Elephas maximus indicus: one gene and its partner. The protein of the gene in region 2 purifies or fractionates together with the protein of the main gene of each other region. This does not show direct contact. Links are inferred from orthologs where the notes say so. Each region holds a gene or a part of one and is shown on either strand. Other genes may lie near its edges.

Evidence for each region.
Region 1: the proteins of CPSF2 (region 2) and CSTF2 purify together in Homo sapiens (affinity purification with western blotting; 3 studies listed by BioGRID and IntAct, with this or other methods). This does not show direct contact. The link is inferred for Elephas maximus indicus from reciprocal best matches to the Homo sapiens genes CPSF2 and CSTF2.

Annotation. Positions count from the first base shown.
Region 1 is NC_064846.1:57,411,490-57,419,570, reverse strand, and holds the start of CSTF2 (cleavage stimulation factor subunit 2), read left to right. Parts: upstream 1-4,739; 5' UTR 4,740-4,796; coding exon 4,797-4,854; intron 4,855-6,320; coding exon 6,321-6,399; intron 6,400-6,785; coding exon 6,786-6,955; intron 6,956-7,657; coding exon 7,658-7,794; intron 7,795-8,081. UniProt on the Homo sapiens protein: One of the multiple factors required for polyadenylation and 3'-end cleavage of mammalian pre-mRNAs. This subunit is directly involved in the binding to pre-mRNAs.
Region 2 is NC_064828.1:105,689,282-105,697,350, reverse strand, and holds the start of CPSF2 (cleavage and polyadenylation specificity factor subunit 2), read right to left. Parts: upstream 3,432-8,069; 5' UTR 2,867-3,431; intron 1-2,866. UniProt on the Homo sapiens protein: Component of the cleavage and polyadenylation specificity factor (CPSF) complex that play a key role in pre-mRNA 3'-end formation, recognizing the AAUAAA signal sequence and interacting with poly(A) polymerase and other factors to bring about cleavage and poly(A) addition.

The DNA of each region.
Region 1 (8,081 bases), on a different chromosome or scaffold from region 2:
GGGAGAGGCTGAAACTATTCCCCCTGAGAACAGGAACAAGACAAGGATCCCCTTTATCACCATCCTATTTAACATTGTGCTGGAAGTCCTAGCTAGAACAATAAGGCAAGAAAAACAAATAAAGGGCACCCAAATTGGAAAGAAAGAAATAAAACTCTCCCTATTCGCAGATGATATGATCCTATACATAGAGAACCCCAAAGATTTGACAAGAAAACTTCTGGAACTAATAGAAAGACTCAAAAGACTAGCAGGATACAAGATCAACATACAAAAATCAGTTGGATTCCTATACACCAACAAAGAGAACTTCAAAAATGAAATCAGGAAAGCAATACCATTTATAATAGCCCCTAAAAAGATAAAATACTTGGGAATAAATCTAACCAGGGATGTAAAAGGCCTATACAAAGAAAACTACAAAACACCATTGCAAGAAACCAAAAGAGACCTACATAAATGGAAAAACATACCATGTTCATGAATAGGAAGACTCAAATGTCAATCTTACCCAAAGCGATCTACAGATATAATGCAATTCTGATCCAAATATCAATAGCATTCTTTAAGGAGATGAAAAAACTAATCGCCAAGTTTATATGGAAAGGAAAGAGGCCCCAGAAGATAATGCATTATTGAAGAAAAGGAACAACGTAGGAGGCGTCGCACTACCTGATTTCAGAACCTACTATACAGCCACGGTAGTCGTAACAGCCTGAGACTCGTCCAACAACAGAAATATACTTGAATGGAACAGAATTCACAAGCCAGTTGTAAATCCATCCACCTATGGTCAGCTGATCTTTGATAAAAGGACCAAAGTCTACTAAATGGGGAAAAGACAGTCTATAACAAACGGTGCTGCCAAAACTGGATGTTCATCTGTTAAAAAAAGGAAAACAGGGCCATACCTCACGCCATACACAAAAACTAACCCAAAATGGGCCAAAGACCTAAATATAGAACCTAAAGCAATAAAGATCATGGAAGAAAAAATAGAGACAACACTAAGGGCCCGAATAAACACTAAGGGCCCGAATACATAGCATAAATTCAGTATAAACCATAACTAACAATGCACAAGCAGCACAAGATAATCTAGAAAACTGGGAGCTCTTAAAAATTAAACACTTATGCTCATCAAGAGTAAAAAGAGAACCTTCAAACTAGAAAAAATTTTTTGGCTACGACATATCCAACAAGGGTCTAATCACTAAAATTTATAGAATACTTCGATGCCTCAATAACAAAAAAACAAATAACCCAATTTAAAAAATGGGCAAAGGAGATGAACAGACACTTCACCAAAGAAGACATTCACCTGGCTAACAGACACATGAGGAAATGCTCATGATCATTAGCCATTACAGAAATGCAAATCAAAACTACAATGAGATACCATCTCACCCCGACATTACTGGCACAAAAAAAAAAAACAGAAAATAACAAATGTTGGAGAAGTTGCAGGGAGATTGGAACTCTTACGCACTGCTGGTGGGAATGTAAAATGGTACAACCACTATGGAAAAAGATATGGCGCCACCTTAAAAAGCTAGAAATAGAAATAGTGCAGTCCCACTCCTAGGAATATATCCTACAGCAAGGACCTACACGCACACATTCTTCATATAGTCCAGCTTCTCAGAGTATTCGCTCAGCGTACGGATGGAATAAGTATGGTGAAAGGGTACAAGCCTGATACACGCCTTTCCTGATTTTAAACCAATCAGCATCCCCCTGTTCTGTTTGAATGAATACCTCTTGGTCTGTGTACATGTTCCTGCAGTATGATGGATTGCTTTTGTGTGGCCTTTCTTGCCATGGTCTTATAACTCCCACCCAGGTGATTGGGTGGGACTGTGTGATAGGGTAATTGTGGCCCTCCAAAGCAATTGGTCAGTTTTGCCATCCTGCTGGGCTTGAAATGAGCCACTCCAAAGGCGGGAAAGAGGATCCCAGCGCCACCAAGGAAGAACAGCCAGGAGCCAGCTCTGGACCCATGATCCCTGTGCTGAGAAGCTCCCGGAAGCAGGAGCCGAGAGAGAGAGAGAGAGCTATAACCCTGAAGATGGTGAGAAGCGGTGGCAGAAGAGAAGCAGTGGAAGGAGAGACCTCACAGCAGATGTCACCACGGTCTTCCTGACCCACAGAGAGAGAAAGCTGAGCGCCTTTGGGCAGGGGCCTAGCACAGGGAGAGGTGTGCATGTGAACATGGCTGGGAAGAGGCTTTCCTGATGGAAGAACTGTATCCTTGAGTTTTCCTGAGTCTGAATTATAATCTGTTACTTCCTAAATAAACCCCATAATCATGAGTATGGTCTGTGAGTTCTTTGTAGCCATTGCATTGAATTATCAAACCCAGCAGAAAAGTAGAGAGTTTTGTGGGAGGGATGGTTGGTGTCAGAATTGGTAAAGATGGCAGAGAGAGGAGGCATGCCTGACCCCCACCTCATAGGAATCAGCCTTGGACTGTTGATCTTGGTTCTCCTTCCTCCTGGTGAAATTTGAGGAGGTTAGACACTGTCCTCACACTATTTTTGCAGTTCCTCATGAGCACAATTAAGTGTTCCGGAACTTCCATTCTCCAAAATGTTATTCATAATTTGTTATGATCCATACAGTCTTTGCATAGTCAATAAAACACAGGTAAAATCTTTGTGGCATTCTCTGCTTTCAGCCAAGATTTATCTGACAGCAGCAATGATATCCCTCATTCTACATCCTCTTCTGAATCCAGCTTGAATTTCTGGCAGTTCCTTGTTGATGTACTGCTGCAACCGTTTTTGACTTACCTTCAGCAAAATTTTACTTGTGTGCAATATTAATGTTATTGTTTGATAATTTCTGCATTTGGTTGGATCACCTTTCTTTGGAATAGCCATAAATATGGATGTCTTCTAGTCAGTTGGCCAGGTATCTGTCTTCCAAATTTCTTGGCATAGACAATGAGCACTCACAGCATAGCATCTGCTTGCTGAAACATCTCAATTGGTATTAGCTTTTATTATTACTAATTCATTGGTATCACCTGCACAGTTATAAGAAGGCTGAAGTATAAGTTATCTATGCAATGCGAGCAATGCAACAGGATCTTCAGATCCAGGATCCATTTTGGTCTAGTATTGCTGATACTAACAAGGGTATTAAATTTTCAGTGTTTCTCAAGGGGAGAGAGTTGGCATCAGGTAGGGGGAGGGATTCATTGTATAGGGCTGTGCTGGACTTAGAAATACATCTATTATCTCTGGTTCCCTCCCCCCACAAGTAATAGCACTCCCTCAGCCATTACAATAACCAGTCTGATACACTTCCAAGCACCTTCCTCCACAAAAGGGTAGTTCTAGGTTGAAAACTAATGTAAGGGCAATTTTATAAGAAAGCATCATTAAATGTTGCCATAAAGCTACCTCAATAGGTACAATGCGGTCCAAATTACTTGACCCTAACAATCAAGGGCAGTTGATTAAAAATAATTATTCTCAGATTCCTCCCCTAGAATCCCATTCCGTAGGCCTGGGGTGGAGATCCAGGAATTTCTACTCTTCAGCACCCAAGGTGAGCCTTTTGCTCATTCAAGTTTGGGAAACACTAGGTGAGAAAGATACTGAGCCACACACGCATTTATACAAAGTTCACCACACTGGGACAATGGCTCGCCAAAGCTCTTTGAAATCTTGTTTGGAACTATTTTATAACACAAGGTGTTTTCTTGATCACACAGTAATTGCAAGTGGGAATCTGGAGTCATGGGAGAACTCTTCCAAAACTTTTTATTTTGGCTCATATTATTACTTTAAATGACATGCTCCACGGTGTAAAGTAGCTTCATTTATTTTTACCAAATATTCCTCATACTTCAAGCAAGGATCTACACACACACACACACACACACACACTTCTAATCTATCTGGGATTAATAAAACGTCCTTGTCTCAAATTCTGTAGATATTTTAGCATCTCTGCCTTCTTTTTTCGGACAAAAAGTCCGTCAAAGAGAGTGCTCTTGATTCCTTCCTCCAACCCTGGCAGGCTGTCTTCCTGTGAGGTGGCAACTAGTCCTGCATGCCATATTCCAGGAGCGCAAGCACCAGAATTTGGTACCAATGGTCAATGATGCTTTATGTTGTTTACAATCCCCTGCCTGTCAGTGTTCTCTCCCCTCGCCCCCTACCACCACCAAGCATATAGAGCCCAGGGACTACACGAGAGCAGACACGGGACTGTTCTCCTTTTAACTCTCCAACTCCTCAGCTATCTTGGCAACTTGGCGTTAAGCGCCCCTCCTTCTCTTCGCTGGCAAAAGTCTCTTCCCTAAGCTCACTCTGTACACTCGCAACTTTAGCAAAATGACAGCAGACACGCTTCTGAGGCGGGGCAAGCATTTCCCTCCCTTAATAAGGCGGAACTAAAATGAAAGTGTGCCGGTTGTTGGTAAATGAGCTCCCTGTTACCATGGTAAAAACCGCTGCTGCCATCTTTATTGTGGTCGATGATACCTCGACTTAAGAGATAATGAGTAACAACAAGAATTCTACAGACTAAAACCTTCAAAGTCGCCTGGATCCGCCATCTAGACCAGAACGATATTATCTGGCGGTAGCCAGACGACGAAGGCGTTGTGCCACTCACGGCCCTAACGAGAGCTTGCGGATGACGGAACGACGCCTGGGGACGGGCTCTGCGTCCGCCGGCCCAGGAGCTTCCGGCTCACGCGCCGTACGGAAGCGAGTTCCGCGCTGGGCTCACGCGCCGTACGGAAGTGTGTTTAGCGCACCGGAAGCCGCCTGAAGAGAGCGATGGCGGGTTTGACTGTGAGGGACCCTGCGGTGGATCGTTCACTACGTTCTGTGTTCGGTGAGAGGAATTCGGTGGAGCCCAGCGTCTGGGAAGGGCAGGAAGAGGCAGGGAACGGCGAGGAACGCCCCCTGCAACTCTCCCACCTCATGAACCGGAGCCGGTGATAGGTCGGGCGTCGAGCTCTACCTGCTTATCCTGTGGGCGGTCAATCTGGTAGATTTGTAAGCAAACAGATGCTTCCCGTACCGCGATGTCCCGCAGCCTTTCTGCGATATTGTTGAGGGAGTTAGGCGAGCGTTCAGCTTCTATGCGTTTCTCCTTTCACGAGCTTCAGTTATTATCTGGAAGCGAGAGCGCATGGCGACAGTCCCTCACTGTCCCGTACTACCTGCTCACCCCCTATTCCAGAATGCAAATTAAATGCTGAGGGGGTAGATCCCTATGTCCACTTTCCGCCCTCTGATAAGGATTTTCTTTCTCTGCTTTTTACCGGTAACATTGCAGTTCATCATAGTGGTAGCGGCCACCTGGTGTCCTGAGGTGGATTATAAATAAATGAATGAATGAATGAATGAATGAATAAGACCTCGTCGAAGGAATTCTGAAGAGGATTGAATCTATTCTGAGTAAATTTTTCGGCCGAAATAAGTTGTTTTTCAAAGCATGTGTGGTGATTTTAAAGCACTTTTTGAAAAGGAACTTGACAAAACAATTTAGAATAATTTTTAAATATACTCCACTGCATTCTTGGACTTTCCTAAGTGTGTGTGTGTGTGTGTGGAAATGCAGACATTTGAGCTTGTTATAAAAATTATATTTTCAGTAGTTACCAACACCCAAACTCATTGCTGTCAAGTAAATTTGGGCTCATAGCGACCCTATAGGACAGAGTAGAACTGCCTCACAGGGTTTCCAAGGAGCAGCTGGTGGATTCAAACTGCTGATCTTTTGGTTAGCAGCTGAGCTCTTAACCACTGCACCACCAGAGCTCCATTTTTCATAGTGAGAAATAACACTTGCAGACTTTCAGGAAAATACCTATGCCTTAGTATTTATTTTCACTGAAGTTAAGGAAAATCTAACACTTGTCATATAAGTCTGAAAACTAACATTTAGGAGTGCCTACACCTTTTTTGGAAACCCCGGTGGCGTAGTGGTTAAGAGCTACGGCTGCTAACCACAGGTCAGCAGTCCAAATCCACAGGCTCTCCTTGGAAGCTCTATGGGGCAGTTCTACTCTGTCCTATAGGGTTGCTGTGAGTTGGAATCGACTCGACAGCAATGGATTTGGTTTGGTACACCTTTTATTGAGTTTCCTCGGTGGTTTACTTCATTTTTGTCAGCAGATAAGATTGGAATCTCGTCTGAAGGAGTTCCGTGGAGCAAGGATTTGAAGAACACTGTATTTTGAGCCAATTGTTACATACCCAGTGATATAAGTAGATAATGTACTGTTTACATTTTCACTAAAGACCTAGGTTACAAACTCAGGATTTTAATATGTCACGTATTTTTTTCCTTAGTGGGGAACATTCCTTATGAAGCTACTGAAGAACAGTTAAAGGACATCTTTTCTGAGGTTGGACCTGTTGTTAGTTTCAGGTGAGGTCCCCTTCTTTTGCCTCTTAGTAGGGGGTTTCTTCTTAAAAATTGCCACAAATTTGGCCATTAGGAATAATGAGAAGTTTTTTTTTTTTTTACTGGTGATGTTTTACATGCATTCTTTTTTTTTTTTAGGGCAGCTTTACTGAGGTATAATTCACATACCATACAATTCACATGCATTCTTATCTAAGAGATATATATATTTTTTTTTCATTTAAAAAAATGCTTAAAAAGATTTTAGTGAGGCAAAGTCAGAATTGTAAAGTTTTATCCTATGGTTGGCCAAATTAGAGAGTGGAAATGCTAGCAAGAACCCTGTATTTGTAACATTTGTGTCCGATTATTTGTAACATTTGTGTCCGATACTTGGTTCTGTTCACCAGGTTGGTATATGACAGAGAGACAGGAAAACCAAAAGGTTATGGCTTCTGTGAGTACCAAGACCAGGAGACGGCCCTGAGTGCCATGCGGAACCTGAATGGGCGTGAATTCAGTGGTAGAGCACTTAGAGTAGATAATGCTGCTAGTGAGAAGAACAAAGAAGAGCTGAAGAGTAAGTATAAATTCAGGTTTTATGAAATACAGGTTAGTAAAAATGTAACAGTGAAAAATTTCCATTTAGAGTGTATTCTAGAATATGCTGGAGTAGTTAGCGACACAATTTCTTTATTTGATTGACTTGAGGAGCCTGAGTTATGGAAGTAAATATCTTTGAGAAAGAAGGTAGAGTTGACATTGAGAGTCCTTCAGTTGCCAAGAGGGGAATTGATTTCCAGCTAGAGGTGAAGTTATTCAGGCTCACCAAGCCATCAGTAGGTGCGAATCATGTTGTTAGCATTTGCCACTCATATGACTATATTGTCAGATCTATAACTGGTGGGGTAATAAGGCATTCTTGTGTTTTTTACTGTGAAGTAATAGATCCAGAAATCCCATTTTTAAATTAACATCTTTTTTCTGTTTAAACCTTTTGCTAGTGCAGCGTTTTGTCAAAAGTTCATATGCCTAGTTTCCTACCTTAGTTTAACTTTGTCCATCTATGTGATCATGGTCCCCTTTTTCCTCTGAGAACAGAAAATACACTCTGTTACTTGCCTCCACAGAAAGAAAAGATTAGCAAATCACTTATTTGACAGTTCCGGAGAATTTTTAAGTTATCAACTGGTCCTTATGGTAGCCCTGGAAAATAGATACTTGAAGTGATTTAGCCCTTTATCTTATCTCCTTAACTTTCTTGTACTTTATTCCTGACCAGGCCTTGGCACCGGTGCCCCTGTCATTGAGTCACCTTATGGAGAGACCATCAGTCCTGAGGATGCCCCTGAGTCCATTAGCAAAGCAGTTGCCAGCCTTCCACCAGAACAGATGTTTGAGCTGATGAAACAAATGAAGGTAGGATGAGGCATTAGGTTATGACCAAATCATATCACCTCAGATTTTTAAGGAGTGATTGATTGACAGTGGATATGGTTCCCTGAGTTCAAATACGTGTGCCTGTAGACCATCATTTCCTGCACCTTCAATATTCTGTATACACATAGTGTATTTTACATTTTATGCAAAGAGGTTCCCATTTCTGTACACAAGGAAAAACACCTATACAAACAATCTGACTGGGTTTTGTGGCCCATAGAAATCAGATGTAGATGTTAAAATGTGGGGTTTTGTCCCCTAAATGA
Region 2 (8,069 bases):
ACAGACAAAAGAAGAAGCTATTCGAGAACAGGAGAATAACATCAGCAAAGGCACAAAATAAAAACTTACAGAGTATCGGTGAAAAACAACTAGCCTGGCACACTTTTATATTATCAAAAAATGAAAGAAAAGGCCAAATGAACAGAAAAGGGCCAGAAATAACGAAGGGCCTTGGAAACTTTGGACCCAATTTCTATGAGGAACAGAGAAGAATTTTAAGATCCATTACTAAGTAGGAAAAGGACATGATACAGGTAATTGTGTATTTTAGGAAGATTATCTGGTGTAGATGAATGACTGAATAAGATACAGAAAGCAGGGAGATAAAAAGGGGGAATATTTAGCAGGCCACCTTCTCCTCTCGACTTTGCTGCTTCCATTTTGGGATTGTATTTCTTTAGCCTTAAATGTACCCATTGCTGTGGAGTCGATTCTAACTCACAGCAACCTTATAGAAGTGGAGACGGGCTTCCAAGGAGCAACTAGTGGATTTGAACTGCCGACCTTTTAGTTAGCAACCAAGCTCTTAAGCACTGAGCAACCAAGCCTCGTATGTACTTTTTTACAATTCTTTGACCTCAATTCATGAGTCATTATCTAAGCAACTGAGTCTTGAAACTCTATATCTTTTATTCCTCCCTTTACTTCTTCTTGGATAGTCTGTCATCAACCTCTGATTGTTTTTCCCCCCAAAATGCCTTGCACGTGTACCACTCCCTTCCCGTTCCTACTCTCAGTACCTTAATGCAGGGCCTCTCTACCTCACACTTAGGTTTCTCTGTTTCTCTGCCTCCAGCCTTTCCTCCCTTCATCTCTACCTAAACACTGCTGCCAATTAAACCTTCAGAAAGACTCCTGCACATACTACCCCTTGCTCAGAGATCTCTGAAGGCTTCTTACTGCTTGAAAAAAACAAAACTAATGCCTTAGCTGGCAACTGAGGACTTCAGCAAACTGCCCAGACATCGCTGCTCACCATCATCATCTCAAGGCCCAGATTCAATTCAATGGCAACGGGTTTGGTTTTTTACAGTTACCAATTTGCCCATCATTAGTCTTGACTAGTAGCTCTGTCCAACAGAAATATAACACAAGCGACATGCAGCTTAAGATTTTTTTCATAGCCACATTGAAAAGGAAAAGAAACAGGTGAAAGAGATTTGTTTACCCCAATATATTCAAAACATTATCATTTCCACATGTATTATTTAAAAATCATTAATGAAATATTTTACTTTTTTTGTTTTTGTCTTTACTGCCTTCAAAATCCAGTGTGTATTTATACTTACAGCACATCTCAATCTGAACCAACCACGTTTCTGGTGCTCAAAAGCTACCTACATATGCCTTCTGTCACAGAGCAGGTCTAGACTCTAGACACTGAAGTCAATGCCAGAGACTGCTGGGCACTGTTCTCCGCCACTGCTGAAGTGCAGGTCGGCACCGTTCTATTTTTATGTACACATTTTAGACTTGACTTTAATGGTATCACCAACGACTTAGGCTCACAGACTAAAACTCTGGAGTCACTCTCCTACCATCAAATTGACACTTCAGAAATGTCTCTTATATTCTTAATCAGAAAAAAATAACCCAAACCCGATGCTGCCGAGTCAATTCTGGACAGAGTAGTATAACTGCCCCGTAAGGTTTCCAGGGTGTAAATCTTTATGGACACACGATGCCACTTCTTTCTCCTTCAGAGTGGCTGGTGGGTTCAAACTGCTGACCTTTCAATTAGCAGCTGAGCGCTTAACCACTGTACCAGCAGGGCTCCTCATATTTTTACTGCCCTACAATTGAGGCATTTACTATTACCTTACCTGAATAACTGCAACTTTCTCTCATTTAGTTTCCCTGTTCCAGGTTGATCCTCCACACAACTGTCAGAGAGACTATCCTCAAAAACAAATATTTTCATGTCCCCTCCTTGCACAAAAGATCCATGGGATTCCTGTTAACTATTGAATAAAACCTAAAGTCCTAAGGTGGAAATCAAGGCCCTTCACGAATTGATAACCTACCTCTTCCTTCACCAACCACCCTTGAACTGCATGTTCAAGTACATTTATTGCCCCACTCTAAGTACCTAAAACTTCTCAAGTCTCTGTATCCCTGTACTTGTTACTTTTCCAGGAATGGCCTCCCCTGGAGTTTCAGAAATTCCTCTTGACCCCTCACCACAAAAGTGGAATATTAGCTCCTTGCCACCCAGGAAAGACTAGTTATTTTTACCTAGCACAAAGTAGGCACAAAAAACATTTGTTGAATGAAACTGAATGCACAGAGGAGTAAAAGTGTTTGTCTTTTCTCTCCAAGACCAAGCACAGTGCCCAAAACAACACAAATGTGCGCTAAAAGAATCCTCACAAGATCATAAATGCCTTCAGTGCTGTGAATTTGGTCGATACGACTTCATCCCAAATATGTATCAGTTACTTGCTCTCTCAATAACGACCTTGTATGCTGAAAATGACGACTAAGGGGAACTATGCAAAATCCACAGAAAAAAACAAAGGGGTGAGTTCGGGTTAGTACTGGAACTCATGGGGTGCGAAAGTCTCTTTCTGGTCAATTTCAGAAGAGCAGTGGCTTCACAACAGGATCAAAGGGACTGTAAATGAAAATCCAGGGGATAAGTAAATGGTAACTCAGGTGTGGCTGATCACAGGAGGCCAGACTTGCCCGTGACCTCCTGTTTTCTAAAGAGCATGTTAAAATCACACAAAGTCAAAAAGAATGAGGTCTTAAAATACTGAAATGATAGGAGTGAAAGCGGTCGGGGACGGTGGAGGGCCGAGACAATTAAGAAAGCGCAGTAATATCTTTAAGAACTTCGGAGTCAGTTAACTAAAAGGACGCCTACTTCGTGCCCAGTGCTTAGCAGACTCGTAGTCTCTCGTCCCGACACGACGGGAAGACTCCGAGCGAGGAGGCTGACAACACCGTAGCCACGCGGAGGAAGAGCTAACCGTGGCGCCGGATGAACGCCTCCAGCGCCCCAGACAGAGGAGAGGCAGCGCCAGAAGGAGGCACGGGAGTGAATGGCACAGCCTGACACAAAGGAGCCGCCACTTTCAGACCCACGAAGAAATCACTTCTCGTTCCCTCGCCGAGCGCTTCTGCCAGGAGCGACCAGGACTGGCTCAACCGAAACTCCGGGAGCACGTCCCCGAGGGAGGCTGGGTCGGAGTTGGGGCCAGGCTCTCCCTGAGGGCCGAGGACGCCCCCTCCCTCATCCAAAGGCTCACTCCTTTCTTTTGCCCTCACTTGCCTCGTCAGTCCTCCCCCAACGCCGTCCACTGCCCTTCCCAACCCCTAGTCGAATCCAGGTTCGAGAGCTAGAAAAAGTGGTGCCCGCTCAACAGCAACTGTGACGATCCGCCGACAGAAGCCCCTCAGCGGCGGCCGCCATCTTGGAACTGGAGGGGAACGGCTGAGGCCGGGGAGACTCAGGATTATACCATCTCTGGGGGGGGAACGAAACTCTAGGAAGGAGAAGGCACTTACACCAACAAGTCTCGTCACCTTGGGCTGAAATTCTATTTCAAAATTATTCATTATGTTTGAAAGCTGAAATAAATGTGAGAAGAGTCACATGCGAAAAGGAAGAAGGGGTATGACTTCCAGATGCTACCCCCTCTCTTCCGTGCGGAAGCGGGAAATGGTAGAGCCCGACGTTGCAGCTTCCGCCGGCGCAGGCTGCTGAGCTCGCGGCTGCCCTTGGTCTTGGGATCGTTGTTGGTACCGCAGGTGGGTGCGTGCCGGGTCACGGTTGTGCTATATCAGTAGGGGTGTCTTCTATGACAGCCCTTGGCGGTGATGGGGTTGGTGGTAGTGGGGTGGCTGAGTCTCTCCGGGGCGGGAGCGGCCGGGCTTCCGAGCGACGACCTCTTCTTCTGATGGACGCCTACGTTCACGTTCTCCGCCTGGCAGCTTTTGGAAGGGGAGCTCTGAGACTGTCATAAATGTCATAAAGGCCGGAAACGTCTTGAGAGATCACCCAGTGACCTCCCCCTCGCTGGCTGAAGACCGAAGCGGGCCAGGGTTCTATGCCGAGACGGAAGTACGGGTGGAGTGCCTCTGCGACCATCTCAGATTTGGCCATTGTCGTTAGTTAGGATTGGAAGCTGTTCTCACTCTCTTTCACAAAATAGGCACTTACCCTTTTACTTTTTAAAAACTCAGTATTTAATTTGCTTTTGGTTTCTAGGTTGTGTATGCCATTAAGATAGTGCTCCATATCTCGAGTTCACATTCTCGAGGTTAAGTCGGCACTTTGTGAATACTACATATAAAGGGCTGTAAAAACCAGTTAGAGAGTAGAATATTATTTCTTAAAAAATAAATATCTTTAGTGACATACAAAAAATACTAGATACAACTTTTGTTTTTAACCATAACCAAAACCAAACCTGTTGCCGTCGAGTCGCTTCTGACTCATAGCGACCATACAGGACAGGGTAGAACTGCCCCATAGGGTTTCCAAAGGAGCGGCGGGTGGATTCGAACTGCTGCCTTTTGGTTAGCAGCCAAACTCTTAACCACTGTGCCACCAGGGCTCCTTTGTTTTTCAAGAAGTGGGAATAAAATTGGGCTAAAGAAAAATGAGATAGAATGAAAAGTGTGGTTAATTAATACCAGTGCTTACCTCTATACTTACTCTAAGAGAAAATCTGCTTTATTGTAAAACACAAGTAAAGAGCATAGACACAAGAGCCAAAATGCCTGGGTACTAATCCCAGCTCTGCCACCTACTGCATCTGTGACCTTAGACAAGTTATTTTATCATTTGTCCTGGATTTCCTCATCCTAAAAAAACATAGGGAACAGTGTGGGTATTATATGAGTTAATACAAATATAGTGTTGTGATTATGAGCTGATGCATATGAAAAACAGTAAGAACTATGCCTGACACAGAGTGCTATAAAAAGAGTCTGCTATTGCTAGAACCCTTTGCTGTCCAATTGATTCTGACTCAGTGACAGAGTAGAGCTGCCCTGCAGGGAGCAGATGCTGTATTCAAACTGCTGGCCTTTTGGTTAGCAGCCATATTGCTAGAGATGGGCAAAAAAAACCCAAAAAACTGGATCATTTTGGTATGGAAGGATACATGATCAGGTACATGATTCCTGCAGTCCGTGAGATAAAAAAATTAATTTTTTTCGGGAAAGCCATAGCTATTTTCAGATCTGAAGTAAAAAAAAAAATGTTTTTCTTGAAGGTACTCATAAAAAAGACACTAATTTCTTGTACAGTGTAAGCATCTGGATAATATTAATGGTAAATACAATGGGTTACAGAGGCCTATATCTGATAATGTATGTTAATGTTGCCATATGACAGAATGACAGGTTGCAAATTAGTAAAAGCACATACACAGCTATGTCACAGGCACGTGTGTGGATGTCCCCTACAGCAATTGGTTCTTTATTTTCTCCCCTGAGTCATCCTACTGCTGATCCTCCCTTATCCAAAACCTGGGCTTGCCTCACTGGAGCCTGTTCCCAGTCCTCTTTGTCCCTTCTCCATCAGATCAAGCTCACTTATGTCTTGGGCCCAAGAACCGGAGCACCTGGCTCCCCTTCCCTACAGTCCACTTTCCATCGTTCTAGCTCACTTACGTCCATAAAGCTTTGTCATCTCTAGTTATCCACTCTCCATAAAACAAAGCGTGTTCAGTGCAACGACTCCCAAAGTCTACTAAATTCTAAACTGTACAATCAGAATAAAATGTCTTCCTCCAATCCTGAATCCCCATTCTTCTTCATATAGTCCAGCTTCTCTGGTTATTTGCCCAGCATAAAGAGTGAATAAATATGGTGAAAGCATACAACCCTGATACACCCAGATACCTTTGGCATCTGGGATTTCTAGAAGAGCCTAAATGCAGCAAGAGCCACAGAGCCTTGTCTTATCTCTTCTGCTGGGAGTAGAGCCAGACAAACCCAATTCCTTAGGGTCTGGTTTCCCTCCCCGAAAAAAAGTACCAGCCGTGATGGCTTATAGCCCACAGGTGACCATGGGCTTATTTTAGCCAGTCTTGGGCTAGGAGTTAACAAGTACTTTTTGTTGTTGGTTAAGTGCAGAATAATATCTAATAGTCAGCTGTGCTTAGGGTAGAATTGATACCTCTTTCAAGGTTACGTTATTTGACTAAGGTACATGTTGTTATCCCCATCGTTGATTGGCTCAATTTTATAAAGCAAGTAAGTTGAGACAGTAAGTACTTGGTGGGCACACTTGGTCGGTATCCACTAAAAAGTAAGTATTCATCAAAATAATATTTAGAGATCTAAATGCAGATAACACTATTTAGTGCAGGCACAATACCAAGAGAACCACCATCTTATAGAAATAAAGTCAGATTGGATACATTTACGTTTGTATGTCCAAGTACCACTTACATCAGAATCAGCTGGGGAATACTTTCAGCTACAGATATTTCCAGCCCCACCGTGGAGGTAGGGCCAAGGAATCCCTATTTTTGAAAATGGCTCTACATATGATGTGCAGGCAAGTTTGAGAACCCCAATTGTAGACAGTAAACTAAAAATATAAAAATAATTGGTGAGTAAATTATATGCTTTAATTATCTTGTAATTTACTTACCTCATAATTTTCTAGACCAGTGATATTCAAAGGAAACCATTGTGTAATACTGCCCTTTATGAAATATATAGTAATCGTATGACTTTAACTTCATGGTCATTTCCTAACCCAGTGCCTGGTACATAATGGGTATTTGATTAAAGTTTGAGAAATTAAAGAATTAGAATTGTATATGTGTGAGAACCACTGTCTTAGGAGAGGCAGGAAATTCCATCTACGTGATCCAAGCAAATTTAGTGCTAAGCACTTTTGTTGGCAGAAATGTACTACTACTCTGAATAAGGTTTTGTCATGTCTTCTCAACCATTGCATATGATTTATTCATTTTAGGCTATTTGCAAATGAACATATTTAAATTTCATCTTTATGTACAGAATTTTACCAAAAAATAACAATTGGACCATGTTGTTATTGAATTAGTATGCATTTATCTTCCATATGATGACAACTGGCTCCCCTATTCCTCCTCCTCTGCCTTTGGGAAACTCTTGGAACTTAAAATCAGTTCAGGGAGAGGCTTCTTAGAGAGGTAGTGCGATAATGTAGGAAGGAGCCAGAGCTTTGGAGAGGACTTGAATTTGAATTCACCTCTGCATTTAATAGCTGGGTTTAAGCTATTTGAGCCCCATTTTTCTTAGGTATAAAATAATAGTTATTTCACACTATATGTCTTGTTCTTGTTAGGTGCCTTCAAGTTGGTTCTGACTCATAGTGACCCTATGCACAACAGAATGAAATACTGGCTGGTCCTGTACCATCCTTATGATTGTTGTTATGCTTGAGCTCATTGTTGGAGCCACTGTGTCAGTCCACCTCGCTGAGGGCCTTCCTCTTTTCCACTGACCCTGTACTTTGCCGAACATGATATCCTTCTCCAGGGACTGATCCCTCCTGACAACATGTCCAAAAGTATGTAAGACACAGTCTCTCCAGCCTTGCTTCTAAGAAGCATTCTGGTTGTACTTCTTCCAAGACAGATTTGTTCATTCTTTTGGCAGTCCATGGTATATTCAATATTATTCACGAGAAATATTGAATATACTATATATCTAGAAATATGGAAACCCTGGTGGCACAGTGGTTAAGTGCTACAGCTGCTAATGAAAAGGTGGGCAGTTCGAATCCACCAGGTGCTCCTTGGAAACTCTATGGGGTAGTCCTACTCTGCCCTATAGGGTCACTGAGTCGGAATCAACAGCAATGAGTTTTTTTTTTTAATCTAGGAATATATCATGGCCCTGCTACCTAGTAGTCATTCTATAAAAATTAATTGCTTTTTCCCTTATCTGTTATAAAGCCACTTAGTAAATATTCAGATCTACTGTGGCATTGCTGAGTATGTATGTGTGTGTTTTCTATCTTTTCATTCCCTTTTAAAAATTAATTCTCGATAATTTATTAAAAACCTGTTGCCAAGGCTGGCATTAATCCAAAAAACACAAAATAATAAATGTTG